4 linked regions of the Schizosaccharomyces pombe genome follow. The protein of the gene in region 2 purifies or fractionates together with the protein of the main gene of each other region. This does not show direct contact. Each region holds a gene or a part of one and is shown on either strand. Other genes may lie near its edges.

Region 1 (6,336 bases), on a different chromosome or scaffold from region 2:
TAGAGGATAGGATAGAAGGAAAAAAAGTTGCTAAAGTAGATGCATCGGGATTATGGAAATTGTATACTAGAGATGGAAAACAAGAGCCAAACGCAACGGCAATCTCTTTGGCAGATATGCTAGCTGATTTTCAAAACGTTCCAGAAGGTGATGTTTACAAATACGATTTAGTTCTACAAATTCGATTCTTAAACCGTGCGTTGCTGAGACAAAGTTCTTCATTATTGAGAAATAACGGATTTCTCTTCTTGTGTACATTTGTCAACGATGGGGTGCATCAGTATGAACATCCTAGAGGAAGTGATCATAGATTCGAAAAAGGAGAAGCGGCAGCAATAGTTTCAGAGTCGGATGGACGAATTAGGGTTTTAAAAGATGAGATTGGATTTATCGAAGACGGCCGTCCAGTGCAAATTTTGCTTGCTCAAAAGGTAGAGTAGGGAGAGGAAAAAACATTTAGAAGGTTTATTGAAAAAATTATTTGCTTTATTAAAAGTTTGATTGTAACAAGGGAGTTTTATTGATCTGGTTTGAAGTGTGCGTATGTAATAATTTGTTGATGAGACATAATATGACTAGGAAATGACTTGGTTGTATTGAGGAAATATTGTTTACAACATAAACATTACTAAGAAGCAAGTGGGAATAACTAGATTGTGTCTCTAACACTTTTGTAGATGAAATGAATACTATGACTAAGAAACAAGTCAAGCAGATTTATCTGCTTCTAAGCTAATGAAGCATCTGGGTTATAAATTGTGGAAGTGTGAACCGGCACTTTGTATACAATGAGATTGCGATGATTTGTGTAGACGAATGTGTGTCGGTGATTTTCAAACAAACAAACGAATTAGTACCAATTTACGAGTCCCATTTGTCTCTGCATGCACACCTGGAAAAAATGTCCTAAACTTGTACTACCAAAGTGACTATTTTGGTTGCGAAAAAAGTGTTGATCATCTATAAGTTGGGAGCTCCCCTACACTATCGATTCAATCTATGGCGACAAACAAATGGAAGATGAGTAAAAAGTAGTTGTGTTCGCAACGTATTTGTCCTCGGAATATGCGGATATTTTGATCCAATGTTTTTGCATCGCTACTTTTATGTGTTTCATTTTGTACCACTACAATTCGAGTTTTTAAACCAGTTTCAATTCCATCCTTCCTAACCATGTTTTCTTACCACTAACTCTACAGATGCTTGCACTCAGCGATCACTCGCATCCCCCCACTCACACATTCTCCCTTTCTACTTCCTCTCCTCTTGTTAGTGGACTTTTCTTTCTACTTTGCACGCTCGCTTACAATTCCATGTACCACGCCCATCCTCCTAATCTCCATATATCAGCATCATGTACCGTGCTCCTCCTTCGTCTCCCACGTGATCCATAGATAACGAACATCATAGATAAGCCGGTAAGACTATTTAAGTGCAGTGGAACAGCAGGCACACTAATCCTTAAGATTTGACCAAGTTGGTTCAGGTTGGTATAGTCTTATTTAGAGTGCGTGTGTACGTAAGAAAAGAACGCAGAGTGCGGGATCTAGACATTAAACACCTCAGTTCTCCGCTGTTTAACCAATCTTACTAAACCTAAGTTCAACTATCGCTGTTACAATCGTTGCCTTTTTGTTCATTCAGAAAAGCATAAAAAGCGAAGAATATCCTGCTTTCCCCACATCTCCATCACATTCTTTGTTGTACTCAACTCGAGATTTCTAAATAGTTGTACAGCGGTTTTTTTGTGTGTTTGTGTGTGCGATTTGCTTTTGTTTGACAGAAAGCCTTTATTCAAGATATCAACTATACCAGAACTCAAGCACGAAGGTTCTGTAAAATAATCAATCGATCGTCTCATCCTCTCAACGACTTGTATTCATCATGACTCTTAGTGGAAAACCTGCAGCTTTACTCGTTGGCACTTTGAAGCACGCTCATAAGGAGTGGGAAGCTCTTGGAAAATATGCAGAGTTGAAGGTAAAGAAATAGAGAAGGGAGGGAAGAAGGGACAGTAGTGGGAGATGGAGGTTGAAGGATGAGCAGAGGATATGGAACTAAAAAATTCAAGAGTGATTGCTTGTTTGTTGTTCTGTTGCTTCTTCTCCCTCGTCCTCTGCTTCTGCGATTCTGTTGGATTTCTTGGCTATCTAGCGGATCTCCTAGCTTCCCGACAAAACCTCAACATATGCGCTTAGTTGTGTTTACCTGTTCTTGTTTACTAATGTCGTTTTAGACCTACAGCGATGGCACTCGCGAAGACTTCTTGGCCAAATGCAAAACCGAGTTTCAAAATGTAAAGGCCATCTGTCGTACTTACAACTCCAAGTTTTACATGGGCATTTTTGACAAGGAAATCATTGATAATTTGCCCCCATCCGTCAAGTTTATCTGCCATTTGGGTGCTGGTTATGAAACTGTTGATGTGGCTGCTTGTACCGCTCGTGGTATTCAAGTCTCCCACGTTCCCAAGGCTGTCGACGATGCAACCGCCGACGTTGGTATCTTCTTAATGTTAGGTGCCCTTCGTGGATTTAACCAAGGTATCTTTGAGTTACACAAGAACAACTGGAATGCAAATTGCAAACCCTCTCATGATCCCGAGGGTAAAACGCTTGGTATTTTGGGTTTGGGCGGTATTGGTAAGACCATGGCCAAGCGTGCTCGCGCCTTTGACATGAAAATCGTATATCACAATCGTACTCCCCTTCCCGAGGAAGAAGCTGAAGGTGCCGAGTTTGTCTCATTTGACGATCTTTTAGCCAAGTCAGATGTGCTTTCCCTCAATTTGCCCTTGAATGCTCACACCCGGCATATCATTGGAAAACCAGAATTTCAAAAGATGAAGCGTGGAATTGTCATCGTCAACACTGCACGTGGTGCCGTTATGGATGAAGCTGCTCTCGTCGAAGCTCTCGACGAAGGCATCGTTTACTCTGCCGGTCTTGACGTATTTGAAGAAGAGCCCAAAATTCATCCTGGTCTTTTGGAGAACGAAAAGGTGATTCTTCTTCCTCATTTAGGTACAAACAGTCTTGAGACCCAATACAAAATGGAATGCGCTGTTCTCATGAACGTCAAAAATGGAATTGTCAATGATTCGTAAGTCCTTATGTTTTTCCCCTTTCTTTCAATTTCTAACTTTTTTTCTAGACTTCCCAATTTGGTTCCTGAACAACGTGGTGATATAGAGTAGATTATGTTTTTCTGTCTACTTACCTCGGCTTTACGTAAATCGACTTAAATGTTTTTATATGCTTATGTTATACGGTCGTTCAAATATTGATTCATTCGTCTCAAATTATGGTCTATTCATGACTATTTTCATTATATAGTAAATACATATTTCTACTGTTCTTTCTCATTCTTTCTCCCTAGCAGATTTCGTAAAACGACAACGATGAACTACTGCTGTAGTTTCAAACTCTTACATTTACATCTTAATAGCAAAAAAGCATCGTTGATATGTAGCGGTTCTCTTTTTTTCTCCAGGTTTAATAATACACAGTTAGAAAGGACCATGATAATAATTCAGAAAATTTTAATTAATATTTACAGTACCCAAAAATGCTTCACATCCCTTATTCATACAATGAACGTCCAGTCAAATTGAAAAAAAAAATGAGCAACTCTTAGTTGCGTTTTTTCTTCTTTTTGTTTTTATTTTTCTTTGTTTTTCGGGCATTGGACTCTTTGGGGGAATGTAGAGAAATGACATCTTGAGACAACTCATTAACTTTCCTCTTTTTGGATTCCTTTGCCGGGGCCTTCACCTCCATTTTACGGGATGCCTCCGCCTTTTTAGACACTAATTCTTGTTTACGACGTTCTCTTTCTGTAAGCTCCGATGTGTCCGTTATTTTAGTACCGTTTACATCAACCTCTTCATTCTTAGAAACATCTTTTTCATCCACATTTTCCTCTCCTAGTTCCTTATTAAATAATCCAAAGCTAGCTCTTCCTTGTACTAAATTAGGTTCATTTGAATGACTTTCAAGATCGTTTTCTTCAATCAGACCCCCATAACCCGATTCATATTCTACATTACGAGTCATCTTTTGGGGTAAAAAATCAACTTTTCCTGCAAGACTCCAATGCTCATCTGTAACAATGTTCTTGCTTAACTCTTCTTCTGCTTGCTTCGGGTCAATGCCTCGAGCGCGTTGCATAAACTACAAAATACAGGTTAGTAGAAATTTTTCTTAAAAATTTGACTAAATTTCGTACTTTCATAGAAAGAAGTTTAGACGACATTTTAAAATAAATATCTTATCATAAAAAAAAACAATTGTTTTACTATTGCTTACAAAATCTATGAAAAAGAGACTTTGCAGCTAGCAGAAGAGTAGGTCTCGTCACACTTGTTTGGATAGCGAGAAAAACCGCAGTGCCAGAATGCAAAACTGAAATTAAGATGAGAATATAAAATCAGTAAATTTGAGAATCGGATTAGGGAAAAAAAACTAATTAAATAATAAAGACCTATCGATTTCATCAAAGGGTTTAAGTGGGAAAGCCGCTTTACTCAATGTCATGCTTTCCTTGAACATGTTGCCATTTTCAATGATAGTAACATTGGGAATTTCGTAAACTTCATCTTCACAGCGTTGAGAAACAACATGCACAGATATTTTTTTAGTATTTTCTCCTTCATAATGAATGTTGTTTATGAAGAAACTGTAAAACTCATCCTTGGTAATGGTAGACACAATTTCTGCTTGCTTTTCCAATCTGGTAAAGTCATAAAATCCATCACAAATACGTAACCAATACATAGAAGATTCCTCTTTTAAGTTTGTATGCTTTTCGAGCATAAAGTTAATCAAGCTTGATTTGTGCTTACTGAAATCCTCGTCGGACATTTCTAAAAATTCGCTTTTGAATTGATCCAACAAGGCACGAATTCTGGACTCTAAGTATGTACTACTTCTCTCACTTTGCACAAAAATATTCAAATTTATAAAAGGCGTGACTTGACGAACTAAAGTAAAAACAATATAACCAAGTTGTTCTTTAGTACGCAAGATGGAGAAAGTGGGTTCCTTCATTATTTGCCGTGCTAGTCGAGTTAGGGCTCCAGATCTTTCATCGTCAAGCTGGCTGATTTGAAGATTATACATAATAGCAGAATTTTTCTCTTCCTTGTTTGGCACCACAGTTTTGTAAATATAATTACCACCTTCAGGAACTATTATAGCCCTTTTACGGCTCAACTGGGATGCAAAGACTGGTTTTGGGTCAATCAGTTTTTGAGCGGATTCAATAAGATTTTTGGCATCTTCCTCGGTATAGTTTCCATGTACCAAAGATTCTAAAAAGTTTTGTTTTAATAAATCACTAATAAAATCAGACATATCGCCCACCTGGACATCTTTAATAGCTTCACGTAACTCAGCATTTGACCACGAATGCGGTTCGCTCAACCATGTGAGTACATGGTTTGAACGATGATATGCTTCCAAAGCATCATAATCTTTAAGTTCTTGTTCCAAGCGATTCTTTAATATTTCAAATCTTTGCGGATGAACTTTGAGATCACGCATCATTGCGACTACTTTTTCCAAAAGTACATGTAATTTATCAGTAAACCCTGAAATACAAAGTATTATGCCACGAGTAGATGGTGAAAGTGAAAAGGAAAGACCAGCTAAGCTAGCAGGATAAGAATATTCTCCTAGAGCATCTTCTATTAATCGCGTGTAAAGTGTCGTCGACACAGAAACTTTGGGAGACCTCCTGGCGATTGGAGATATGAAATTTATGAAAACGTTAGCTTTAGGTACCCAAAAAGTGTCATCCTTTTTATGCCATAATCTTACAAATTTGTCATTTCGCACCAAATTCGGCACTTTCAGTTTCGTCGTTACTGGCTGCTTTTCAACTTCTAAAGACCAAGGAATGAATTCATTTGCCAAAGGCAAGTAAAGTTCACTGGATGTCTTAATATGTAGCAAAGAGTCTATAAACTGAGAATCCAAATCCTCCAATCCGTAATCTATGCCATAGAACTTCTCTTTATTATCAAGTCCTTTCTCAATTGAATGAGCAGCTAAAATGGCAAAAAAGTTATTAGGACGAAGACTCTCAACAACCTCCTGAATACCTTTAGGGTCAAATTCAGTGAGTACTGAGGAATAATAAAGGACTTTATCACGAGGATATTCTCGTTGAAGCTTGCTAGCAACAACATGCGCATACTGGTAAGCAGGGGTTTTTTGTCTCGTTTTAAATTGAGCCTCTGACATGATACGGGTTTCTTCAAATAAAAACTTGTGAGCATTTGTCTGGTCGAGCAATCTTATATATTCAAATAAAATTTTAATAACCCTCTGGTAA
Region 2 (7,883 bases):
CACTTTAGTCTGATTACTGGAAAGTTTGTGAATTCAACCCCGATGCGACATTTAGACGTTACTCTTGAGACTGCCGATGCAAAGAATAATGACTCGTCCTCAGCCTCTATAGAAAAGCGTGGCATGAGAAGTCTTGCAGTGAACGGGGTTTACTCTCCAGCAGCGGCGTTTCTTCAGTCAAAATCTTGGTCGGGACTTGACAGTGTAGATGAAGGAGAAGGTCCTAGTAAATTATACGAAGGACAGAGTGGCATCGCCAAAGGATATGTTGGTGAAGGCAGCAAAGAAAAGATTCAACGTGATTTTGGTAAATAAATCGGGTATTGAGTTGATCATTCTTCCTATGCTTGTGTTTTAGAGTTTGACAAAAAAAAGTTTACTGGTTAAAGGAGATAAACAGGGTTCATAAGTTATATAAAAAAAATTTCCTACAGCATTTGAAAATCAATTAGCTTTATGACTATAGTATTTTATATTACAGCAAGATCAATATTACGTTTCAAGCATTAAAAACGAACTTGAATATTTTCAAACTTTCAAAATTTATACACCTTGATAACCCAAAAATTTGTTAGAACTTAGACCTTGCAACCTCAATACACTTTTTTAATAAAAGGGGTTGAATGTGAGTGCCTCCAAGCTTTATTATCTTAACAATATTTTTGGAGCTATTAAGCATAATTGTCAAAAATTCAGTTGAAAGGTCCTCCTCCTCGTCTGTAGGGTCGGCTAACAACTTGTCGTCAAATACTGACCATGAGAAAGAACGAACTTCAGTACTTAATTGAACTGGTCTTGTAAGGGTAGAAGCACAGATAACCCTCTCTAAATCTTCATCCCAAACAGCAGTTGGTAATTTAACAGTTTTTAAAGCGGCAAACAAAGCTGCCCATGCATAATCGAAGGCACTTCCATCATAATTTAAACAAATAATATCAGCATACAATACCCAGGCTGCTTTTTTTTCAAAAATGCATAGGGACTGTAAATTAATCAAGTTAGATCTGTATAAGTTGTTAGTAAAAGTAACTAAATATTCTAAATGATAGTTTAACAATAAATGAAACGTATGGTAGAAAATTAGAAAAATTCCAATAATTTGATACATACTGTTGCAAAGTCTGATGCAATTCCTGCGAGACAACTTGCGCCAAGTCAGAAGGAGGGCCAGGTTTAAATTTGCTACTGCAAAGAGGTGATAATTCAAGATTGGGAACAATCCAACCTTCATTGGGAGAGTTTTCAAAAGGTTCAGCAATTTCTGCTTTTATTCCACACACAAAGACATTTTCGCCAGCTCGAATGATAGCACTACCATTAGCAGTAGATATGCAATTATCATTAATTACAATTTCTCTGAATTCTGATACAGACCGCCCATCTGATCGAACATCCTGATTAAGAAGATGTGATAAATACTGCTCAGGCGTGATTTTCTTAAAAATTCTATCCAGTAAAATGTTAGTACTGTAACAAAGAAAAACAAAGTGAAAAGGAAACAGAGCACTAAAAAAGATAGAATAAGAAATCAAAGAGCAACTTACGAAGGTGTAAATGAAAGCTGTTTTACCCCCGAAACAGTTTTCATGATGTGAAAAGAATGTAGTGTTTCAATAACGAAGCTAAATGATATAGTAACGTAGAAAGACCAAATAACTGAAGAACGATACTGAAAAATATATAAAATGAATATGAATCACAAGAATTCGATATATGTGCTGAATTTTGTCTACAGGTTGAAATTATGAAATGGAGTAGAGGGATGAAATAGGTGTACGAAGTAAAGTATGAAAAACTTATATGGTAAATAAAAGGTTTGTGAGGTCCTTAAAATGTTTAAATTCCTTGGTTTTTTTTTAATTTATTGAAGGTATATTCGGTGCAAATTTCAATTAAGGATTGATAATTCATTTGAATTTTAGCTACAAAATCCCAATTCGTTTAAACGATTTTGAAAAAAGAGATCACATAATTAACATTTAAAAATGCTAATTCGAAAAAAATTTATTTAAGGCCTTTTCTACTGATTTTTTTTTTTTTAAAAAAAGGTAAAATAACAAAATTTACAATGATCCATGGTTAAAGAAAATAAGGCATAATTAAACAATTAAAAGTCAGCAGAATACATACGGAATTTGGTAAGTAGCATAATATATAGCTCTTAAATTAAAGTAAGTTATTTGGGTGCATGTTTATATTTCAAAATTTGCACACTCTTAGTTTATCGGTTGTTAGACGAAGCAAAAGTCTTATATTAATAAAAAAAAGGAAAAGTTTTTTTCTATTAGATTATAGTTAAAGGAAATTAAAAAAAAAAGTCAGTAAACACACTTAATATCGCGCCAGGTACAATGACCTTTCCTTAACCTCTAGCCTACGAACACAACAGCCGGATGCTAAACCTTCTGAGGAAATGATGCTATGAATGATTCTGAGGAAGAATTAGAGCAGCAAGGAAGTCAAGAGGATATTTCCTCTTCTCAGGATACTTCGGATGAAAAAGAAATGCGAAAGCAAGATGCTCTATACGCACAGCTAATAGAGTATCGAGAAATTGTTTCCGAACTGAGAAGATCTGAGATGAAAAATTTGTGTATTCAACTTTATTGCAGTTATAAAGCTGGTATAACTCGTCGAAATGAATTGCAAAGCGATTTGGACGGTTATGAACGAAGGATTCCACCACGTCTACGTGCAGTATGGCCTACAATTCATTCCATCCCCGATGAATCATTTTTTGATGGAACCTCGGCTTCGAGGTTTCGCCAAGAGGCTGCATATTTGGCTGTGCGTTTAGCATCAAAAAAATTACACAAGTTGGGTAGAATGGCTTCTTCTGAGGAACTGCCTAATCCGGATGGCCTCCGATACTTGGTTGAAAGGTTACAGATAAAATTGGAACGCCTTTTTGATTCGGTTGATACTTTTCGACAAGAACAGGGAAGCAAAAGCATGCAATCACGTGTAAAGCCTATGGATTGGAAGATTCTTTACGGACTTGCTCGAGTCACAAACGGTTCGTTTTCCTCGTCGCAAAAAGCAGACGTTCTTGCATTGGGCAATGGTACAAGAGCTTGTCAATCATTATTCAAAGAGATGTCGTTACAACCTAGTATTGATATTGAAAAAGTTTCACACTCTAACCCAGAAATCTCGATAGAATTTGAGGATTAAGAAATTGGTGGGAAATTTAATAAGTATGAGTATTTTGAAAAAAAACACGCATCTGTGAACAGGTCAATCTGCGTAAGTCTCAACAATTAATGTTCCAGTAAACATCTTTTGGCTGATGTATATGTTTAATTATTTGTGTAACTCCCGCCGTATTTGCACATATAGTTTTTCTGCATCCGAATTTCTTTTCTTTTTTTTTAAGTTATTTTGTTTTTGCGTTGATCTAGGAAAAAGGTTCTACGCAACAAGAATATTGTTTCAACTTTATCATGCTTACAAGTTCATCCTACACTTTAAACTGGAAGTGGCAAGTATTTGCTGAGGTTAAATCTTTACTGTTATGATACTGTTTTCCAATATATCTAAGTTACACAGTTTTACTAAATTGTATAAGCTATTTAACAGTCTATGCAAAGCTGATGGTGTGTTCGTTTAAAATAAGGGCGGCACGTGGTACTGTAACTTGAAGTCCGATGTAGAAAAAATGTGGAGATTAAGTGATAACAAATACTACGGAAATAGTAAAAAAGTCATAGAGAAGCGAAGAACGAACAGTTGCCGGATGGCAACCCAGTTACAATAGACTATCGATTACAAAAGTTAGCGAAATATTGGGAGCGGCTCCTTGGTAAACGCTGTGAAAGGAACCTATCCAAAGCAAACCACAATTGGCAGGAAATTTTTTTTGAAGTAAACAACGTTTGGTTAAAACTTTGAAAATAGGCCAATTTCAAAAAAACAACGAGTTGTCTTTATGTCGTTTGTAGATGGAGTCAACAGTTGGTTTTCGGCCGCTTCTTATTGGGATGGGCTCGGTCCAACAAATGTTGTTCAGCCAGAGGACGATTTGGCTTTTGTAAGTCAATTTGAAGAAGTTGAATCGGCTTATGACAATCTCGTAAAAAATGGTATGATTGCACCTCGTCGAAAAAATAGTTTTGCCTCCTCAGTGAACAACCCCTTTTCGACGAGTGCATTGAGCGAAGCCTTAAATGGCAGTGTTTCAATGAGTCATGTTCCCAGCTCTGGTTTGTTAAAAAGCACACTTTCGAGCACCCCTACTGCAGGCTCTAATCTGCTGGGTACGTCTCCTGCTGAACCGGCAAGTGGTTTGGTCGGTTCTAGTGGTTTTGGTTCCAGCATGCTCGGAAGCTCGTTACCAGGTAATGCTACTTCCAATTTCGGTTCACAAGCTAGTACCTCATTACTACATCCCAGGAGATCCACAACGTCTTTGCTCTCTAGTAGTGCTCATCATTCACGTTCTTCGTATTATGATCTTGCTACTCCGACACGCTCCTCCTTTTCTTACAATACTGTCGGTGCTGCTAGTTTACCATCTGGTGGGCTTTCTAATCTCTCCTCTTCATTGCGTTCTTCTTCAAAATCGGCTGGGTTTTCGTTGTTTGAATCTGCTTCAAATAGCTTTACGCCCTCTTCTTTCATAGAGTCCGCTAACATGGAATCTTTATCGATTCCTTCTCGTCGTCGACCTTCATCGATAGCTCCGATCGGTACGCGTCCTTCTCGTAAAGAGATCGCATTCAGTAATAGTTCTACTCCTACTGACCAAACGCTGAGGCCTCCAAATCCACCGGCTGCCAATGGAAATGCCACACCAGTTACAGCAGTGAACAATGTTTCTGCTGTTGCTGATTCTCCGCAGTCCACTGGCTCTTCTGTTTCTTCTTCACTACCAACACTAAGTTTGGACTTCAAGCAAGAATACAGCGGGAACAATCATGATATGTCTGGATTGTCTTCCTCTCTATCTAAATCTCATAACTCAACTTCTGCTTTAAGTTCTCAGATTTGGTCTTCTCCCTGTGCCAGTACTCTTGGAGGTGTCAACGTGTGGTAATTGCTACATTTTCTTGATGCGGAACTTTCTTGGACACGGAATAGTATTTTATTTATAGGTTGAGCTTTGAAGGTTGTGATCTATTACTTTATAATTTTAATTCTTTTGCATTTGTGGGCATTCTGTTGTTTTAAAGCGCTCATTGGAAACTTATTCGAATAAGATAAGGAAATCTAATATTGGTGCTGATGATTTCTATCCTAATATTGTGAGCATAAGATATTTCTTTATTTTCTAAAAATGGAAAACAGAAAAATTGTAACTTTTTTGTTAAATAAGTTGCCGGCAATTTTTTAATTCGCTTTCACTTTTATGTTTTTTAAAAGTGTTTCACGAATTGTCGACGTTGCTTAAAGGTATGGTTTTTTTTCCTAAGAACTTTTGAGTGTGGGAAGGGTTTTTGCTTGGTTGAATAGTTTGTTTTGTGAGAAGGTTCTGGATTGAAGAAAATGTCAAGTTACTTGACTATTACTTTCGGCACATAGGTTTATGGTGATAAATCTTTGCATTTTCTTGACAAAAGAGAGGACAGTGGTTAAAAATGGGAGAGTTAGATATTTCTATTGGTATTTAGTTTGAACTATCAAAGTTAGGGGATTCTTATCGTACATGGGTATACTACTCTTGAGTGCATCGCATGCTTCTTGTCACAGCAAACGGCATGGTCAATCGCATTTGAGTCTAGGTTGTTGGTTTTTATGATATTACGTCTGTGCAGAAGTTTTGTCTTTCACAGGCCATCGTGCTCTTTATCTGGATTTATTTCAGGGGGGTGAATCAACAGCATAAAGATGTAAATATTTTTTTAAAATTTTAAGTAGCCAAATTTCAAAATCAATTTTATTTTACTTGATAAACTAGATTTGGTTAGAAATTATTTTTTTTATTAATAATTTATAGTATTTAATTCACATATATAAAGCAAACCTGGACTTCATTGTACTCTTTCATGTTAATTAGTGATGATTTAAGTTAATGAATAGTAACATTTATTGGCCGTTATTTCGCTCGCATAAAGTTGGTACAAATTACTACCGATTCGGAAGCGTTGTTCGCTATATGTGAGAAATTTAAAAGGTGAACATTATATAAAGAAAATTAGAATACAAATAATAGATATGGTGAAGATTCTTAAAAAAAAAAAATTAAGAGTAGTCAGTAATCGTGAATGTAGTAATGCTAGTTAATTGACATTCTAGGAGGTAAAAAAAAAAGTATCCGTCTCCCATACATCCGTAACTAAATTACACGAGATAGCAAATCTATAGACAATTTGGAAATTGATTAGGTTCGCCTCTATTGCTTAACCGCGATAGGCACTTAACCTTGTTCAATTAATATTTTTAGAATATGTCTGATAGTAAACTCGAGAGAGACAACATTATTCGAACATTGTAAAAAACTTCCAAATTTATACTAATAAACCTTACTTAGTTAAATATCAAGCCAGAAAACCCATGACTCTTGAAATTCTTTAGTTGGTTTTAGCTAAATTAATGAAACACAAATTTAATTAAAAAACATAAATAAATCAATTTTATACTCGATTACTTCTACTTCAAGTATCAGGTTACACACATCGAACGCAATGGCAATCATTTCAAAACAGCTTTGTAGATTTTAAAAGATTAAGTAGAAAGTCTTGCGACTTCTAATCATATAAATCCATACCTCTTAATTATGCAATTTCCAATGGTAATATATATTCTAATATGCAGTTAGCTTCCTACTCCTAAAAGCGCTTTGGACCCTTATGTATTTCTTTAACCGATGTTAATAATACATTGGCAATATTTAATAGCAGATGATCAAAAAGGATTCTGCATTTATAAGTTAATCCATGATACATACAGACAACAGTCTTTTCTAAAACGGAATAATGGGGCGCAACCATTACTTCACTGCTTCTAGCTTATTTCTCAAAACACAACCCAATCTCTGTCCAATCTAATTATGTTAATAAATTTCGTAATTAGTAAAAAACCAATTGACAGGATGCTTCCAATTATTTAGACAGATAATAATTTTTTGAAACAATAAATTTAATTAATAACGAAACACACTCACTGCCTCTGTTTACCTAGCTTGTTAGCGGCTTTTTAAAACAATATACTGTGGTAAAGATTTTAATGACCTATATATAATCTTATTAGATATTCTTATCACAAAAAGTAACTATTATCCTTCTAGTAATATAATGAAACAACTACAATCAAACAAAAAACAGCCAGCTGGATATATTTTTTTAATGAAAATATAAAGAATGATTTTTTTTAATCTATAATTATTTAAATTTTGTGAGCATTATCTTTCGTACTACAAGACCAATTTGTTAGTAACAAAAAAAATCTGGGATACAATAGCTTACATAGCGCGAAAAGAACGTAATGCAATTTTGTTTTAGGATTTTAATATTGTATATATCGTTAAGCATAGATAACAATTACTTGGTTACTACGTTAATATCTCTGAAGGAAAATGTTTTTTTGCATATTTTTACTCTAACCTTTCTCTTCAAAGCTTTCCTTTTAAAAATGGCGAAACGATCAGTGGAAGAGTTAAAAAGATCGGCGGATGAAGAAGCTTCTGTTAAGCGAAAGGAGAAGAAATCAAAGCATGAGCATAAGAAGCATAAAAAAGATAAGCCCTCTGCCGACAAGGATAGAATTTCAAAAAAGGATAAAAAGAAATCAAAGAAAGGAAAATCAAAAACTAAAGAAGAATCGATAGAAATCAATGCGGAAGAGGGAGCAAAAATCGCACAACCCGCGATCGGCTCAGCTAACGCTTCTAATCATAATGATGAAGAAGCGTATGACCGTTACATTAAGAAGCATAATATTTCTTT
Region 3 (9,959 bases), on a different chromosome or scaffold from region 2:
CGAATTTTTATTGATTTCAAGTTCTTGTCGTAAATATAAAGCATTCATCTTTTAAAGGAAGAATTAACGAGTTCCCATTCGAATAACTTTTTTGTAAATAATTACTTGGAAGTTAGGTAACATCAATAGTGAGTAGGCAAGTAACAAAGGAGTACCCTATTATTGGTACTGTATTGACGCATTATAGCCCTTGGCCACAGATTTTCAAAATTCACCTTCCCCTTAAACATCAACCTGGCATTTGGGTTTTTACGGGATTTCATCTACTATTTTTAAAATGTTTTTATTGCAACGGTTTTTCATTTATGGGTTGTTTCTAGCATGTTTTTATACAACGGTGTTTGGAGAAAAACATTTTGAAGCGGAGGAATATAGAGACTCCTTTTTATCGCAGGAAAATATGAATAAAATTAATCATACAACTATAGAAAGGTTGTTCCGAGAAATGACAGAAAACGATCCCTCTTTGCTTTCTTCCTCAAAAACTCTGGCTGAACTTAGTAAGGGAGAACTTGCTAAAGCACGCGAAGATTTGAAGAGCGTCTTAAGTTTTTTGAAGAATAATCTGCCTGTTGATACTGAATCATCGTCAGAGGCTTTTACTATAGAGAAAGACAACAATTCTTGCGTTTGGTTGAATTCAGTTAAAAGCTTTGTAGAGAAGCAGTTCTCTTACTCCTCGGGAACGAATGGAATTCTCGCGACTTTCTTAACAGCAATACCACCTAACATTTTTATTCTTCTTGTTCCCAAGTCGTTCGACACGAGTATGTTAAATCTGTTCGTGGCAGTTTCTGCAGGTAGTTTATTAGGCGATGTTTTTCTACAATTACTTCCTACTGTGTATTCGACAAATGGAGGAGATTTTCCAGCATCTTCTGTTTATTCAATCCTTATTGGAGCCCTAGTATTCTTTCTAATGGATAAGGGAATCCGCATTTTAATACATGAGCGTCCGTCTTCGCTCTCTAAGCCAAAGAAAGACGGTGAAGAGACTTCAAGTGTAAACAAACCTTCTGCTTCTTCAACTCAAACTGACGTTAAAGGAGTGGAAGGATTGCGGAAACGAAATGTCAAAGATGATCAGAACTCTAAAGGTCACGAGCCTGATTTGATTAGACATGTAGTTGAAGAAGTTAGTGAAGAGTATAACGACAAAACTGTGGTATATTTAAATTTGTTATGTGATTCATTTCATAATTTTATGGACGGTTTGGCGATCACTTCCGCCTTCTTTACCAATACCTCCATTGGCATATCCACCACATTTGCTGTTCTATTACACGAAATTCCAGCAGAAATTGGTGACTTGGCTATACTTCTGAGAAATGGGTATACGAAATCGCAAGTACTCGTGTTGCAAATGATCACTATGGTGACGGGATTATTGGGAGCAATTGTCGCTACATATATATACACTGCTTCATCTTCATCTTCACCATATGGTTCTTTCCTTCTACAACTTGAGGATAAACTCCTTCCTTTCACGGCTGGTGGTTTCCTTTATATAGCTTACCTAGGCGTATTTCCCGAGCTTTTGGAAATCAACTTATCAAAAGGAAAGCTGGGAAATATGATTTACACGGCATTGTACATGATGTTTATTGTTGGAGGTTTTTCTTTTTTATATTATGTTTAAAGTGACAGATAACTTACATTAGGGCGTGGTATGGAGTTGATATTGTACTATTCTAGAAATATAAATCGGGACTAATATTTTTTGTCCTTCATTTTTTCTGGCATTGTGCTTTGTCTTTACATTTAATATTAAAAAATTACACATTTATGAAGATGTGTAGAAACATTATTTTAGTTCTTTTATTAACTTGTTAATTATTATGGTAGAATTAAGTTGTTCACATTCACATAAGGCGCTTTCGTGTTCAAACTTGTAATTTTTGATCCCTCTTATTTCAAAATTTACGCGCTTTAAATCGTTTAAGAGTATTTTTATTTCTTTTCCATAACCTGTTTCTATTCTAGCTGACAGAAAAGATTGTAAACAATCGGCATTGAGAGTAAACAAATAATGCCAATTTAAAATAACATTCAATGTTTTTGCTTTTCATAAGCGAAAACACGTTTTGACCAAACCTGACAAGACTAAAACTATATGGAATATTATTATTATAAGGGTAAAGGAAACGAGTAAGAATTCAAGGGCAATAAACAAAACATCCTAACTTTTTTACCGTTGTTTCTATCACCATCCTAATGTTTTGAGTTTTCATCATTGTAACATTCCTATGTCAAACAGTGGATGAAAACACTTGTTACCCAAGTCACAACTACTAACTGTTTTACAGTACTGTTTTTAAGTTACTCGTTACTTATATGTAAACAATACAGTTGCTAGATATGGTAGTAAAAAGTATATAGGGTATAAGGGAAAATATATTTCATTACTTCAAATCGATAAAGATTTTGAACCAAAGAATATATAAGCACCCACTTTTTGAAAAAAATTTGTAAAAAAAGTCGAGCAAATATATATATATGATGGTATCACGTAACCTCGTTATATATCATAAAATTAGATGGTAATTGGTCAAGGATGCAACCTCGCATTAGAAAGTGATGAGATGGATCGTTCATAAAAACAATCCAACCACTACCTACTAAATTGAGGAGACCTCAAACCATTTTCGTCCGTTCATCGGTAAAGAAATCATCCCGATGCTTTGGTGGATTGAGTTTCACCAGCCAAAAGCATGAATTTTAAGTCATAAGAACCTCTTTACAACTTGTCATCAACAAAGCGTTGAGCCTTGTCATGAGCCTCTTGAGAGGTGCTCTTGTCCTCGTCAGAGGTAAAAGCAGAGGCGACCTTGTCGTAGGCACCAGTAATGGATTCCTTGGCCTTGTCGAGGGTAGACTTGGAGGAGTCAGGAGTCATTTTCTCCTTGCCTTGTTCAGTAAAAGACTTTCTTGCGGGATCAGACATTTTGAATATTTAAGACAATTAAATTGATTGGAATTGAATTGAATGATTAAACTGTTGAACTTGGACTCGTATTTATAGCTTCTTGTCCAATTGCTCATGTCATTATGATCGCAGCCCATTACATCACATTTGCGTCAGTTAGCATTAGAAACTGGAGAAAACTGCGATCCAAGGAATTACGTAGTTTTCTATCAGATAGCTCGCTATCCAATCAGACAAATAATGAGCAGCTTCTAGCAAAGCCCCTTTTCTTCGCACCATTCGTTTTCTGAGCTACGTAAGCTATTTCCAATGAGCGCCCACTCTACTTTCTTATGATGTAATACAGAAGCTTTGTGGATTTGCAAAGCGAGATAGCGAGTACGGTAAAACCCTCGCTAGGTTAGAGGTTCAAAGTGGAGAGAAGCGAAGTGGTGGTACTAGTTCAAAGAGAGAGAGAGAGAGAAAGAGAGGAAGAAGGGGAAGTGCATCTTGTCTTTAGAGTGAGTATCCCTTAGGAAACAAACTTATTTCTGTAAATAAATTTTAAGAAGTTTTCTTTGTCTTTTAAAATTCCGAAGTATTCTTTGCATGATGGTGTTGTTATTGGGTGATGAAATTTTGATCTAAATAGGGGAACTTCACTTGTTGAAAAAAAAAACAATTAGAGCAAAAACAATAACACTTTGCAAAACGTTATTTAAAAGATAACCACAACCATGTTCAAAGTGAGTATGGCTTAGTAGAGGCAATCTCATTCAGGTATTACACACACTGCGCACAATAACACAATTGTTTCAACGCCGCACGTATTGCATGCGATACATCGTGAAATTCCGTTATAAGCAGGGAATATTACGAGATGCTGCAAACTGCGGATTACACAACTACGCAATAGAGAGTTGGTAAACCATTATTTTGTTAGACGAACTGCAATGATGGTTTTGTTAAATCAATAATAAGGAGAAGTAAGGTGTAGCTAAAGACCATTTATAATCTTTTAGGAAGCGTAACCCAAGGTGTGTAACCCGAAGTAGAGAAGAAAAGATGATACGTGAGAAATGTGAGATGAGAACATGAGCAAAAGTAGGAATGGCTCGACGTTTTTTGGTTTCTTTTTTTTTTTTTTTAAATTGATTTTATTTTATTTATTTTTAACTTTATAGAAATTTTTTTATTTTTTTTCTTATTTTATTTAATTTATTTATTCATTACAGCATTTCGAGATGGTTTCAATATTTTGTTTCTCTTTATTAATTTTTTTTTTTTTAAAACAAAGAAAGAAAGTGAAAGAATAAAATAAACTGGCCATCTTCTATTATACCCATTCTCAACAAAAACTCTTTTGAATGTAGTCCAATCACCAAAGCAAAAAAAAGTAAATTCAACTCAATCGTTCTTCCTTTTCTTTTATTTACTCGTTTTTTTTTAGGGATTTCGCTTCATACTCGTTTTTTCTTTTTAATATTCATTCCATTTTCTTTTCTTGAATAATTCGTTTACTCCTTTATTATTATTATTTTTTTTTTTTTTTAAATTTCATTCATCTTTGTATTTTATCTCTCCGTTTCACTTCTTTTCGTTCATTGTTATGGTATTCCTTTCCACAACTCCTTCACTTATATACTTCTTGTTTGCCTTTTTCTTTTCGCTTGTTTCAGTCCACTAATCATCAACTTGAATCTGTTTGCTTACTTGTATACATACCAAAACCTTTCTCATTCGAGTATGTCTATCATACCACCCAATTTTCCATCTGACTATATACAGTATATCTGATTCGCTTAATCCATCCTAACTTCTCGTCATCCACCTTCCAATTTAACATTTTACGCATACATGCTAATGAGCTTTTGAGCAATTGATTTGCATTTTGTATATTATTATAGACTTATTTAATGAGTAATTTTTTTGTCTCGATCCATCATTTTCATTTAGAAATATGTCTAGGTTGTCTCAGTTGTTAAACTCCAAAAAAGCAAAACAAAAACCTCCGTCTGAACATCCCATCGGTCTTTCTTCTATCCTAAAACAAGACTCCTCTTCAAGTTCTGATTCTCCCAACTTTTTTCCATCCTCCAGCACAAATGACCATCAAGAACGTGACACAATTAACGACACTAACTTTGTAGTTCCAGGTACGCCATTATAATTAGTCACAAAAAGTGGAGAACTAGAAATTAACATTCATAGAGAAACAAAAAACATCCAAGCTCGCATTACTCGCCGCTGAACGGAAAAAATTGCATTCTTCTTTTCCATCCACTCAACAGCAGCCGCCTAAAACCGAAAAGGAAAAGGAAAAAGAGCCTATTCAAGCTAAACATAAGAAAAACGTTGAAAATGATTTTTTGTTGCAAAGGTTTCGAAAGGTTCGCATTGCAGAGAAGAAAGACTCTGAACAACCATCGTCTCATGAAATTCATCTTACTGACGATGATGATAAAACCACACTCCAAAAACAAATGGTGGAAAGCGACCAACTGAAGAAGAACCCCCAAGAGGTAAAATTAGCTCCTCCTTCCTCATTTGCGAAATGTCTTACAGGCGCAAAGAAGCGCGTTTTTGAGGACCAAATTGAGATTCATCTAAGCAAAAGTTCACTTTTAGGATTTAACGCCCCTAGCCCTGACGACATAGTTTTGATGGCTCAATCTAAATCTAAAAGTATGCTTTGTCTCCTTCAATTCATCTTTTCCTTTTTTTTTCGCGCTAATTGTTAAACAGGTTTCCAAAAACACAAACGTTTGGACGAGCAATTGCTAAACTCTGTAAAGTCAATGAAGAAAGTTTCTCAACAATTGAAACCTCAAAAAAATACTAATGATTCAAATAATGATCACACCTTACTTTCCCAAGATCAGTTAATTGAACTTTCCAAATTAGTAAAGCCTCGAACGAAACTCTTGTTGTTGGGCCCGCCCAAGTCTGGTAAAAAAACACTCCTTTCTAGATTATTTTTTCAAATTGGATCATTTGATCCCAAAACCATGCAAAAATGTACAGTACTGAATGCCAAAAAAGAAAGTTTGAGCTCAGTGCTAAAGTCCACCAAAACGAAATGGTATGATTTTGAAACATTTTCCAACAGTTACTCCTCAACTATTATTGATTTTCCTTTAGGAATCTTCACTACTAATGCAAGTTCTCGAGATAATTTTCTAAAACATTCAAGTTTGTTTCAAGTAATGAACACAGCCATTTTCACCATTGATTGTCTGAATCCTTTGGAAGGTCTTGATGGAATATCTTCCATTTTACAATTGATGAATGGCTTATCTATTTCAAGCTATATGTTTGCTATCACTAAGATGGATGAAATTGAGTGGGATGAAAATAAATTCATTAATCTTGTTAACTCGATTCAGAGCTTTCTGAAAGAAAGTTGCGGAATAATTGAGAAATCAAAATTCATTCCGATAAGCGGACTAAAAGGAACCAATCTTACATCCATTAGTCAAGAAAAATTATCCCAGTGGTATAAATCTGATACATTGCTTGGCAAAATTGATAAAGAAGCAGATACAAATCATGGCACATGGAATTTTCTTCTTAATCTACCTCTCTCTTTAACAATTTCACACATTACTCCTTTGCCAGAAAATCAATCACATATTTACTGTAGCATCCATTCAGGCATGCTTCAGGATTCGCAAAAGCTTTATGTAGGCACAGGGAGATTAGAAACACAAATCACAGGTACGGAAGGTGTTCAATTATTTTATGTTAATCAAAAAAGGACTGAGCAGTGATGAAAATCCCAAAGGGTTTAATGTTGCTGGGGATATGATTCAAGCCAAAATCCCTACATTACCCAATTTATGGTAAGTTCTTTGCAATTCTTGTATTTCTAATAAATAGTCCTGGGATTTTAATTGCTGATAGTATCGATGCCTTTACTTCTTCGAAAACTGCTTACGTTAATGCAACTTGGTTTCACGGTTCTCTTGAAAAAGGAAAGTCGATGCATGTAATAGCCCTATTCGGCTGTCACGCAGTCCTTACCAAACTGTATTGCTTTACAGACAGTCAAGAAAAAGCTCCTAACGCAATCGGAAACGATCTTGAAAGAAATCGAACCTCACTTGTGAAAATTGAATTAGAGAATGCTTTCCCTCTCGTAAAAGAAAGCTACATTAACACCTTAAGCCGCGTTTTATTCGTTTCAGAAAAATGGAATAGCTTAATTGCGTTTGGAACAGTACTATCTCTGCATGACTGAATCCCTAACTTACGTATTATACTCAACTCCATATTAATTTTGCATTCGAAAAAATTTTCCGTCCTTTTTAAAGAAATTCTCTATAGATTGTTTTAAATATTGTAAAACTACCGATGTTGTTCATTTGCGTACATCTCAGGCATCGTGACATTTGGAAACAATTTGTTCTCGAGTAAATTTCCTGAGCAAAAAAAAGGAATGTGCTGTGTTAAGAATAATTTATCTTTTTTTCTTTTGAATCGTTGGCACATCAGTCTAATAACAGTAACTACTTATTCTTGATATTTTCCAAATTCGAATATAATTAGGGAAATACAAGGGAATATCTGTATATCGGATAGTTGTAAGCTACGCAGTTTGGTATCTGATTTAAGGATACGTAGAACTGTGGTGAGTTTTCCTTGTGATCTATTATATTACAATACACAGGTTATATAAGTAGCAACTGAGTATAGGTATTGTATTAACTGGGTTATAATGTTACCTATCACTAATATAGCTCATAACTGAACTGAGGAACGAGGTTCAGCAGTAGCTCTATTTATAGTATTCAGATAATATAGATCTTAATAGATTATCATTAAGATCAATCTCCATATCGTATCATACATGGTACGATATATAATTAGAACATGTGACATATAGTGATACGCAACGTAGTGTATCATAGCGTAGTGTAGTACTGCTGACAATAGTGTGCAAGAATAATTTAGAAAATTTGCGTAACTTAACGAGATGTTGCACGCCACCATTATAAGACTAGAATCATGTTGGATCACTTTATTTCATAACCACCATATAAAAATGGCAAGTCATTTGGCAAGTATTTATGGTACTGAGCAAGATAAAGTCAATTGCTCATTCTATTATAAAATAGGAGCTTGTAGACATGGGGAACGCTGCTCTCGTAAACATGTCAAACCAAATTTTAGTCAAACGATCTTATGTCCCAACATGTATAAAAACCCAATTCATGAACCAAATGGCAAAAAGTTCACGCAGCGTGAACTTGCAGAACAATTTGATGCATTCTACGAGGACATGTTTTGTGAGTTTTCAAAATACGGTGAAGTTGAACAATTAGTCGTCTGTGACAATGTTGGAGATCACTTAGTCGGAAATGTTTATGTAAGATTCAAGTATGAAGAGTCTGCCCAAAATGCTATTGATGATTTAAATTCCCGATGGTATTCCCAAAGACCAGTCTACGCCGAGTTATCTCCTGTAACTGATTTTCGCGAGGCATGTTGCCGGCAACACGAAACTTCGGAATGTCAGCGGGGTGGCCTTTGTAATTTTATGCATGCCAAAAAACCAAGTCCTCAGCTTTTACGCGATTTGGTACTAGCACAAAGAAAGTATTTGGCCTTAAATGCAGCAGAAGAAATGAAAAAGGAGCCCAATAGTGATTCCACGAATCGATGGGTCAGTGTAACTGCTGAACGCAAAAATTAAATAGCAACTTATGGAATGTATTTGTTTTGGATTCTGGTTTGCTTTTGTACGGTTTTACTTCGTTTATTATGATTAATCTCTGGCTATAGTTTGTTGTGATTTAGGTTATTTAAATAGATGTTGCATTCTTTTATTGTTTACTAATAAACTTGATCTTTGTACAACTGTACTCATAGACGTTTTAAATTTTGTGTCCAATGTGCCTATGGCTGATTACAAGCTAAAGGAGATCGATTAGAAACATATGAAACGATCAAACATTTCGCAAAACTTGCACAGCAATTCTTAAAAACGAAGGTGTTATTGGTAGAAGCTGTGTACGATATAAGAAAAAAAAAACAAAAAAAAATAAATAGAACCCGTATTTAAGCCAAAATTGTTCAGTTGTTGTATGTTACGAAAAAATAAGTTTCAAAAATTAAAAAAATTAAAACTGCTGAATATAACATTTATATGTCTTAATTACTTTTTTGGTTTTGACGGCGAGCACGGACAGCTTCAGCAAGATCGTCTAGCATTGGAGCAGTTTGTTCCCAGCTAACACAAGCATCAGTGATACTGACACCGTACTTGAGAGTATCCTTAACGCCAGGACGGATTGGAGCATCTTGACGACCTTCATTGATATGAGATTCAATCATAACACCAACAATGGAAGAGTCGCCATTTCTGATTTGTTCGGCGATGCTCTTGGAGACCTTTGGTTGGTTCAAATGATTCTTGCTTGAGTTGCCATGAGAGCAATCGATCATGATACGAGGAGGAAGGTTGGCCTTCTCAAGATCTTTGCGAACGGCGGCAACGTGCTCAGCATCATAGTTAGGACCCTTCTTACCACCACGCAAAATGATGAAGGTATCCTTGTTGCCCCTGGTCATGGTAATAGCGGCGAGACCTTGTTTAGTAACTCCTAGCATTGTGTGAGGATGGGCGGTAGCACCAATGGCATCAATCGCCACACCAACAGTACCATCAGTACCATTCTTGAAACCAACAGGGAAGGAAAGGGCAGAAGCCAATTCACGATGTAATTGAGACTCGGTAGTACGAGCACCGATAGCACCAAAACTGAGTAAGTCGGCGAAGAATTGGGGAGAAATGTTGTCCAACATCTCACTGGCCAAAGGAATGCCAAAATTGGTAACGTCGCAATACATTTGACGAGCCATCCTAATACCCTTGTTGATAGCAAAAGAACCATCCAAGTTAGGGTCGTTGACCAAACCCTTCCATCCGATAGTAGTACGGGGCTTCTCCAAATAACAACGCATGACAACGCACAAAGCATCCTGAAGCTCGTCAGCTTTGGGCTTCAGCAACTTAGCATAGTCCATGGCCAATTTAGGGTCATGAATGGAG
Region 4 (8,405 bases), on a different chromosome or scaffold from region 2:
TGGGAGCGTAGCAGTTTGTTTTCAGTAGTGGATTTGTTTTTGTTTTTGTTTTGAGCAGCGGATTTGTTGTAAGCTGCGTTGTAATTTGTTTTTGTTTGCTCTGCTTCACCCTTGCGATTTGTTTTGTTGTAAATTCCGTCGTAATTTGTTTTGCCTTACTTCACGTTGCGTTTTGTTTTCCTTGCTCGTTGCTATTCCTTGTATGCTTCACGTTGCTATCCTTGCTTCCTTACTTTCGTTGCTTTCTTTGTTACTGTTTACCTTATTTATTTACTTTTACTTTCTTCGTTTCTTTTATTCCCCCCTCCCTTTATGTATTTCCTTATTTCTCCTTCCTTACCTTATTTACTAATTTTTATTTTCAATTTTATTTATTTATTTGTTTATTTATTTTTTTCATTGTTATTCCTTCGTTTCTCTTTTCCTCTTCTCACCCCACTTTTTAGCCTTTCTCCTTTGAACCTTCTTTCTCATTTATGCATTCATGCGTTGTTGTGCTTGAATGCTGCAATTTTTTCTTTTCTCGTGGGCGTGCATGGATTTTCCAAAGCTTAATCATTTTACCTTTACTCTACTATGCACATGACGTTGAATAAGAGTGGGGTAGCGGGGTTTTCTCCACCTAATTGGAAAGTTAAACATTTTGCGAAAGGCAGCTCTAGCAAATAAGGGGCTCGCTTTCATAACCTTGCCCGCTTACATACACCACCGTCTTCCCACAATTTGAATGGGTGAAATGGCGTTACGTTGTTGTTCTTCTTTCTCGACACCAGCTTTTGCCCTCTTTGGCGATAGTGAGGTGGCCTTACCCCAACTGTTCAACGCCAGTCTATCCATCCGTTATCATGAATGTTGTGAGCTAGGCTTGTTTAGAGTAGGTCTGGTAGAATCGGTATGATGAAATGAGCAAGATGACATATTCGAATCGAGCCTTTTTGAGTTGGTGTCGCTGATAAACGCAAAGGTAAAATGGTGTCGAGAAGATGCGGATTTTTGTTATTAATACAGGACGATTTCCTCTTTCAAACAAACAAGAGTCAAGTCAAGTCGAGCCAAGCCAAGCAAAGCAAAGCAAAAAGCAAAGTTTGAGCAAATCCACATCAAAGTCAAGTTAAATCAATTCAATTCAATTTTCGAGTTAAATAGTTCTTTGTCTATCAATCCAAGAACTTTCTCCCTTTTGAGTTTTTTTCTTTTTCAATTTTTTTAATTTTCTTATTCTTCAACTTTTTACTCTAAACTCTTTCTCTCTCGTTCTCCATTTCTTTTTTATATTCTTCTTTTTTTTTTCTTTTTATTCTTTTCTCTCTTGTCAACCCATCATTCATCATGTCGACTCCCCCTGCTAATGTCACTACCGCCCATGTGTTGGATTTGTTTAGCCTCAAGGGCAAGAACTGCGTCGTTTTTGGCGCCGCCAAAGGTATCGGTTTCAGCATCGCTACTGCCTTTGCTCAAGCCGGAGGTAATGTAATCATTACCTACCTCACCACCGATCCCACTGAAAAGGCCAAGAAACTGGCCGAGGAGACGGGTGTTCAAGTTCATACCCTCAAAATTGACATCTCTCGCTCTGATACCGTCGAGGCCGGCGTCGAGGAAATTCAAAAAATCTTTAAGGAGATTCATGTTGTCGTCGCCAACGCCGGTATGCCCTTCCGTAGGTCCGTTCTCGATTCTCCTCCTCATGAATTCGAAAAGGTTATGAACATTAACACCAATTCCGTCTATCGCGTTGCCTATTACATGGGGAAAATTTTCAAAAAGCAAGGTTTCGGAAATTTGATCGCAACTGCCTCCATGTCGGCTACTATCGTCAACGCTCCTCAACATATCGCTGCGTATTGTGCCTCCAAGGCTGCCGTTCGACAACTTTGCAAGGCTTTAGCCGTTGAATGGGCCGAATTTGCTCGTATCAACTCGGTCTCTCCCGGATACTTCGCTACGGACATGCCTGGCTATGAATTTTTAAAACAATGGGAACCCTATGTTCCCTTTAAACGTCTTGGTTTGACTCCCGAGTTACGTGGTACCTATCTCTATCTCGCCAGTAATGCTTCTTCCTTTGTTACTGGTTTGGATTTGATTGTCGATGGCGGTTATACTTGTCTTTAAGAAATGAATTGAGGCGAAAGAGAGAGAAATTTTCATTAGTTAAAGCTAGGCTAGCTAGTTTGCTATTCCTTTCATTTTCATTTCATCTCTTTCTTTTCTTTTCCTTTTTTTTTTTTCTTTTTACTCTCTACTTCTCAACTTAACTTTGCTTTACTTTTCTTTTCTTTACTTTACCTCTTTTCCTCCTCTTTCATAAATTTCTAGTTTTAACGTTTACCTTTTTTGGCCAGATTCCTTATGAAATGTGTGTGTGTCTAGAGCTCAATTACCTTTCTTTTCTTTTTTATATTCTTCCAATCAACTTTGTCAATTACTCCAAAAATTTAAAAAGTTTGGCACATACATAGTATCTTCTTACTTGGCCATTTTTTCCTATATTGCTTTCTTTGATTTTCCTTGGCTTTTCCCACTAAACTACTCGTATCACAGCGTTGCGTCGCGTCGGGTCAAGTCGCTTCGCTTTGCTTTGTTTGACAGGTATGGATAGTGGGAATTGCATATAGTCTTTTAGTGCCTAGTTGCGCTTTACACTACAAATTTTTTTTGTTTGCTTTTTCCTTACAAGTGATTCTCGTATTGTTTGTTTGGTTGTGACAGGGATTGATTGATTCGAAACAAGCTTTAGTATGGATCTTTGTATGTTTTTTTTCTTTTTTTTCTAAAGTTTTTACTTATCATGTCATGAATAACAAATAGTAACTGGCTCATTAGCTTATGCGAAAAAACATATGTAAATTCGTTTGTTAACATAAGACAAACGCCCTCAATCGAAGGATATCCTTATTAACAATCCTACAACAATTCTTAAACACTTTCCCCAATATCCAGTCCGTTTGTATATATTCCTTTATCTTTTTCTTGTTCTCTCTTTCTTTCTCTCCCTCTGTCTCTTTCTCTCTCTTTTAATTTCAATCTATCAATCCCCACCATCTACACCTATTTATTATAAAGGAGAACTAAAAAACAAAAGAGAGAAAGAACGAGGATTGAAGCAAGAACCGACATCTTTTCTTCGACTTGTTATCAAAACCTACACCACTGCATGGTGTTTAAAAGCTCTCCAGTATGGAAAAAAGAAAAAACCAAAAACAAAGAAGAAAAAACAAACTGTATATAAATTGTACATTAAAAAAAGACAATAATTGTTCTATTCCATATTCATTTTTGCAATTAGAGAAACATACTTTAAATAAAAAACAAATTTTTCCACGTCTACGTTTTCGCATTTCTATGAGGATATGTTAAGAATTTAGGCATGCATCTAAACCGAACCATTCAACACAGTGCCTTCAACAAAAATCGCTTTCATTTACATGAATTTCAAAGTATGTAAAAAAAAAAAAAAGTTAAAGCACATAGTAAAGGAATCCTTTTTGATATTTGATAAATCCTTGTTTCAAAGTATTACGCTCGAATAATAAAAAAAATTGAAAAAAAAAGGCAACTAAAGAGACAGTTTCGGTAAAATCCGTCCATTAGCTCCAAATTCCATGTATATTAATTAAAAAAAAAATTAATTACTTTTTTCATTCGTAAGTTATCACCCGTTAATCCATAGAGCCAAAGTCATGTCAATAGAAGAAACAAAAACGTCTATCAAGTGTGATGTTTAATGATTCGAGTAGCTGCGTCCTTAGCAACTTTTGGACGATTAGAAGAAGAAGAGGAAATAGCGGCGTTGGACGTATTTACCGCTTCTGTTTTGGGATTCACATTTTTTTCAGCTTGCTGGATTTTGCTAATGTAATTTTTAACACGCTGCAATTCTTGCATTACGGGTCGCTCACTAGCGTCTATTCCATTTAACTTATAAAAAGAATAGAGAGTAGAATTAATGGCATAGGACATGGTGATATATAACTTTGCTTGTTCCAATTCGGATTTTCCTTCAGCAAGTTCAAAAATTGATTCAGCATCCTTCAATGGTTTAAGAACATCTTCCACGTTATCTAATTGCTTATTTAATCTTTCAAACAGCTCAGAATACTCTGGGTCCATGTTTAACAGACAGAGAGACAGGCTGTGGATATATGCGAATTCTACCTTCTGTCCTCAATTCCAAAATGTAGAAAAACGTCGAAAGCAGGTATGTAACACAATATACCGTGCCCTTGGCTAATTTATCCTCAAATTTTTTGTATATCAGCTACGCAGTTTGGTATCTGCTTTAACAATACATTGAATTGCGATGAGTTTCTCATTCGTCCTATTATTATTGCAATACGCAGGTGATATAAGTAGCAACTGAGTGTAGGTATTGTACTATCAAGTTGTATTGTTATTTATTGCAAATACAACTTATAATTGTGTAAGGAATGAGGTTTAGCAGTAACTCTATTTACGTTGTTTAGATGATTTGGATTTTAATAGATTATTGTTAAAATTAATATCAACATCGTATCATCTGCGGTGCGATATGTAAATGGAACATGTGAACATATAGTGACGTGTGACGCAATACAGTATAGCATAGTATATTGTTGTGTTGTTGACAATTTGAACTTTAGTTTACCATGTTTAACGGAATATTAAAAATACGATGTAACTCACTATTCGCTTAAAAGTTAGTTCTAATTTTTCAAGGCTACACTTGTTCGCTTGACTCAAAAAGTCGATTCGCCTCTTGAAATATCTTTAGAAAAAAAGAAAAGAAAACTCGCCGTCAACAGAGAGTTCACCCATGCATGAAGAAAATGTAAAGTTATGAATACGGAAAATATGCGTTTAGCGCTTACAAAAATTCGTTAACGTTAAGGCCTATGTGAGCAACATTATCACTAAACATAATATATATTAACATCTCTGATTTGGCTAGGAGGAAGTATGACATTTACAAGTGGGCCATTTTTTTATTGTGGTTTGTTATTTATATGAGGATTCAGATGTTTGCATTCATACTTAAGTAACGCAGTTCGAAAGCATTTTCTTTTTTTGTGAATATCAAAGCGTACTTCCTTAAAACTTTTTACTCATTATCTTACTAAGCCAAATTTTCCCCAAAGCTAGAGGAAAGCTATCATGCAAGTTAACTTGTTAATTAGCAAAAACTACAGTGACTAAGGGACTCGTCATGTACTAACTAGCAAGGTTATTTTTGTACTATATCGTGCAATAACGATGCCTTGATAGAAATATTTTATGAGCTCTACCGCTGGTACTTTACCTGGTTTAAAGAAGTATGGTTATTGGTTGATTACCGTATTCCGCAAAAAAATTTTAACGATCAATCATTTTTGCAGCAAATTGCGCCATCATTTGGTGATTGATGTATGCAGTCATATAAAGTGTAGGCAAGACCTCAAACGCTCATCAAGCGAAAAGAACAAGGAAGGAGGTCGGATAACGGGTTGTTGTAATACGTAAAGAGGATTTAAAGCGATATTCGGAAGTACAAAATTTATTTATTGTTTTCATTATCGTTGAAAATCTTTATTCAATTTACCGAGGTTTAACGACCACTGCACAATTGTCTTTCTCTACAAGTTAATCAATCAGTTTAATAGTGTTGCAATCAATTGCTCGATTGCTTCGTAGAAAGAATTAAAATTTGTAACTTAAGCTAAAGGCTAAATTGTTGGTTTATGAGATATTTCTTTCCTTTCTTTCCCGCATTTTTGCGTAGAACAACAAAGTCTGGTTTTTGCAGTACTTCAGCCAGCAGCTCTTCTTCTCCACCAAGACAATCCAAAACGAAGTGACTAAAATTGTGAAAAATTGAAGTGAAAATATATATATTGGAAAATAAGATTGACGCAATATTTGGAGATTAAAAAAAAATTTTGGGCAAAAACCTATTCTCTACCAAGTACACCTGAGTTAACCTATTAGAAACTACTACAATGATTGTTTCCTGGTCCTTGAAAGACGCCGTTGTTGTAGTCGTTGGTTCAGGAAAAAATGCTTACCGACGGGTGAATTTATGTTTAAGTGAAAATTCTTCTAAAATTTTTTGGTTTTGTCGCAGCTCCGCTGATGGTGGATTTGACGTTGGTCATCTTCAGCTTGACGCAAAAAAATCGGATGCTATTGAAATTCTTCCCATTTCTGAATTTGATCCCGTTCGTTCATTAACGACGCTGGGAAAGGAGGAGACAGATTTTTTGGTGGATGCTGTTTTCGTGTCAGAGTCCAACCACCATGAAAAGGAAATTTTACATCGTACGTGCAAAAGGTACCGAATCCCATTAAACATCATTGATAATCCTTCTTTGTGCTCCTTTACTCTACCAGCTACGTGGTCAGAACCACCTCTTCAAATTTCTTTAAGTACTTCATCAAATGGTTGTCGTTTAGCTCAAAGGCTGTTGAGACACGTGGTGAGTAGCCTTCCTTCCGGTATGCCAGAAGCCATTGAGCGTTTTGGCCGAGTGCGAGCGATCACTAAAACTCCAGAAAAAAAACAGTGGATCAATCATGTTAGTGATTTTTGGCCCCTCGAGAAGTTGGTTCGGATGACAGAGGACGATCTTCTTGCCATAGTTTCTGACAACTTCTCTCTTCCACTCTCATCAAGCCAATCTTCTTCACTTGCCAACTCCTATGAAAGTTTATCAACCACCTTGGACAAGCCTTCATTGACGCTTGACCCTGAGGCTTTTCCTACTCATAAGCGAGGTTCAATAGCTTTAATTGGAAGTGGACCTGGCTCTCCTGATTTACTTACTGTTGCTGCCAGAAAGGCTATAATGAAAGCCGATTATGTACTAGCCGACAAGCTGGTACCAGAAGCGGTATTACAGTTAATTCCAAGGCATACTCCACTATTTATTGCTAGAAAATTTCCTGGAAATGCGGATAAGGCACAAGATGAACTTCACCAGGTTGCTTTTGATGCTTTATCTAGAGGTGATTATGTTGTCCGTTTGAAGCAAGGTGATCCTTATATTTATGGGCGAGGCGGTGAAGAGTATCTATTCTTTACACAACACGGTTATGTACCAACGGTTATTCCTGGCATCAGTAGTGCTTTGATGGCCCCTATCTCTGCTGGTATTCCCGTTACACATCGTGGAGTGGCCGATCAATTTCTTGTGTGTACTGGAACTGGTCAAAAGGGTTCGATGCCTAAAATACCTTCTTTTGTCCCTACACAGACCACAGTTTTCCTAATGGCTTTACACCGACTAGAAATTCTTGTGCAAGCACTAATTGAAAGCGGTTGGCCTAGAGTGTTACCGGTTTGTATAGCTGAGCGCGTCTCTTGCCCTGATCAAAGGTTCATTTTCTCTACTTTGGAAGACGTTGTGGAAGAATACAACAAGTACGAGTCTCTCCCCCCTGGTTTGCTGATTACTGGATACAGTTGTAATACCCTTCGCAACACCGCGTAACTATCTATATGAATTATTTTCCCTTTATTATATGTAGTAGGTTCGTCTTTAATCTTCCTTTAGCAAGTCTTTTACTGTTTTCGACCTCAATGTTCATGTTCTTAGGTTGTTTTGGATAATATGCGGTCAGTTTAATCTTCGTTGTTTCTTCTTAAAATATTTATTCATGGTTTAATTTTTGGTTTGTACTTGTTCAGGGGCCAGTTCATTATTTACTCTGTTTGTATACAGCAGTTCTTTTATTTTTAGTATGATTTTAATTTAAAACAATTCTAATGGTCAGTGGAAAGATATTTTGGCTTGATATTTGTGTACTATACTCATCTGTATTACTAGCAACTGCTAAATAAAGATACACAATCATAACCTGTTATTTTAAATGTAAGGATAGATGAACAAATAGATAGAATCAACATATCAGTTTTGTATTAGAACATTTTGATACACGTTTCATGATTCATTTATCCAATATAGTTTTAGTAGAATGATATTCATTTTAGTAGATAATCTAAAAAAGCAAATATTAAACTGCATCAGCCGGGAGTCGAACCCGGAGCTAATGCTTGGAAGGCATTGATGTTACCGCTACACCACTGATGCATTTATTATTTAGAGGTTAAAGAATATGTTATATATTGTTACAAAAGCAGTGTCTTAAGAATGTGTATAATTCTGAAGAAATTTTTTGTTGTTTTGAATAATAAGGAATATTTGGTTTATTGATTTACTGGTTCTATTTGTGAATCGGCTTTTGCTCAAAATACCGAATCTATTTTTTGGATATTTTAAAAAAATCAGCAAACATGCACCAAATGCTTAAATCTCTTCAACAATAATGTTTACAACTCGATAGGAAGTGATTACTCAATACTGCAAACCCTTCTTATAAATTTCTTTTATAAATACCTTTTGTATGAATTAAATCAGTACTCACTTCTATGCTAAATACTGAATATTCTC

What was found.
Region 1: the proteins of rrp43 (region 2) and mpp6 purify together in Schizosaccharomyces pombe (affinity purification with mass spectrometry, with the first as the bait; one study listed by BioGRID). This does not show direct contact.
Region 3: the proteins of rrp43 (region 2) and ski7 purify together in Schizosaccharomyces pombe (affinity purification with mass spectrometry, with the first as the bait; one study listed by BioGRID). This does not show direct contact.
Region 4: the proteins of rrp43 (region 2) and cti1 purify together in Schizosaccharomyces pombe (affinity purification with mass spectrometry, with the first as the bait; one study listed by BioGRID). This does not show direct contact.

The regions. Positions count from the first base shown.
Region 1 is NC_003424.3:2,888,076-2,894,411, reverse strand, and holds mpp6 (nuclear exosome-associated RNA binding protein Mpp6), read right to left. Parts: upstream 4,337-6,336; 5' UTR 4,255-4,336; coding exon 4,228-4,254; intron 4,192-4,227; exon of another isoform or gene 4,173-4,191; coding exon 3,633-4,172; 3' UTR 3,525-3,632; downstream 1-3,524. Other genes in the region: SPOM_SPACUNK4.09 (uncharacterized protein), read left to right, coding at 1-440; SPOM_SPACUNK4.20 (uncharacterized protein), read right to left, coding at 1,637-1,861; gor1 (glyoxylate reductase), read left to right, coding at 1,885-1,980, 2,237-3,102, 3,154-3,196; iph1 (metallopeptidase), read right to left, coding at 4,464-6,336. UniProt on the Schizosaccharomyces pombe protein: RNA-binding protein that associates with the RNA exosome complex.
Region 2 is NC_003423.3:3,331,182-3,339,064, forward strand, and holds rrp43 (exosome subunit Rrp43), read right to left. Parts: upstream 1,765-7,883; 5' UTR 1,589-1,764; coding exon 1,545-1,588; exon of another isoform or gene 1,447-1,544; coding exon 1,111-1,446; intron 1,005-1,110; coding exon 572-1,004; 3' UTR 501-571; downstream 1-500. Other genes in the region: dph2 (diphthamide biosynthesis protein), read left to right, coding at 1-315; RNA polymerase I upstream activation factor complex subunit Acr1, read left to right, coding at 2,422-3,174; protein rhs1, read left to right, coding at 3,929-5,035; putative ATP-dependent RNA helicase Dbp3, read left to right, coding at 7,570-7,883. UniProt on the Schizosaccharomyces pombe protein: Non-catalytic component of the RNA exosome complex which has 3'->5' exoribonuclease activity and participates in a multitude of cellular RNA processing and degradation events.
Region 3 is NC_003424.3:5,317,662-5,327,620, forward strand, and holds ski7 (ski complex-interacting GTPase), read left to right. Parts: upstream 1-4,719; 5' UTR 4,720-4,865; coding exon 4,866-5,061; intron 5,062-5,116; coding exon 5,117-5,590; intron 5,591-5,650; coding exon 5,651-6,622; intron 6,623-6,662; coding exon 6,663-6,747; intron 6,748-6,784; coding exon 6,785-7,145; 3' UTR 7,146-7,414; downstream 7,415-9,959. Other genes in the region: zip3 (ZIP zinc transporter 1), read left to right, coding at 278-1,639; plasma membrane heat shock protein Hsp9, read right to left, coding at 2,738-2,944; U2 auxiliary factor small subunit Uaf2, read left to right, coding at 7,950-8,600; SPOM_SPAP8A3.07C (phospho-2-dehydro-3-deoxyheptonate aldolase), read right to left, coding at 9,059-9,959.
Region 4 is NC_003421.2:2,036,992-2,045,396, reverse strand, and holds cti1 (Cut3-interacting exosome subunit Cti1), read right to left. Parts: upstream 4,157-8,405; 5' UTR 4,114-4,156; coding exon 3,712-4,113; 3' UTR 2,686-3,711; downstream 1-2,685. Other genes in the region: SPOM_SPCC1739.08C (dehydrogenase), read left to right, coding at 1,330-2,115; met1 (uroporphyrin methyltransferase), read left to right, coding at 5,955-7,445.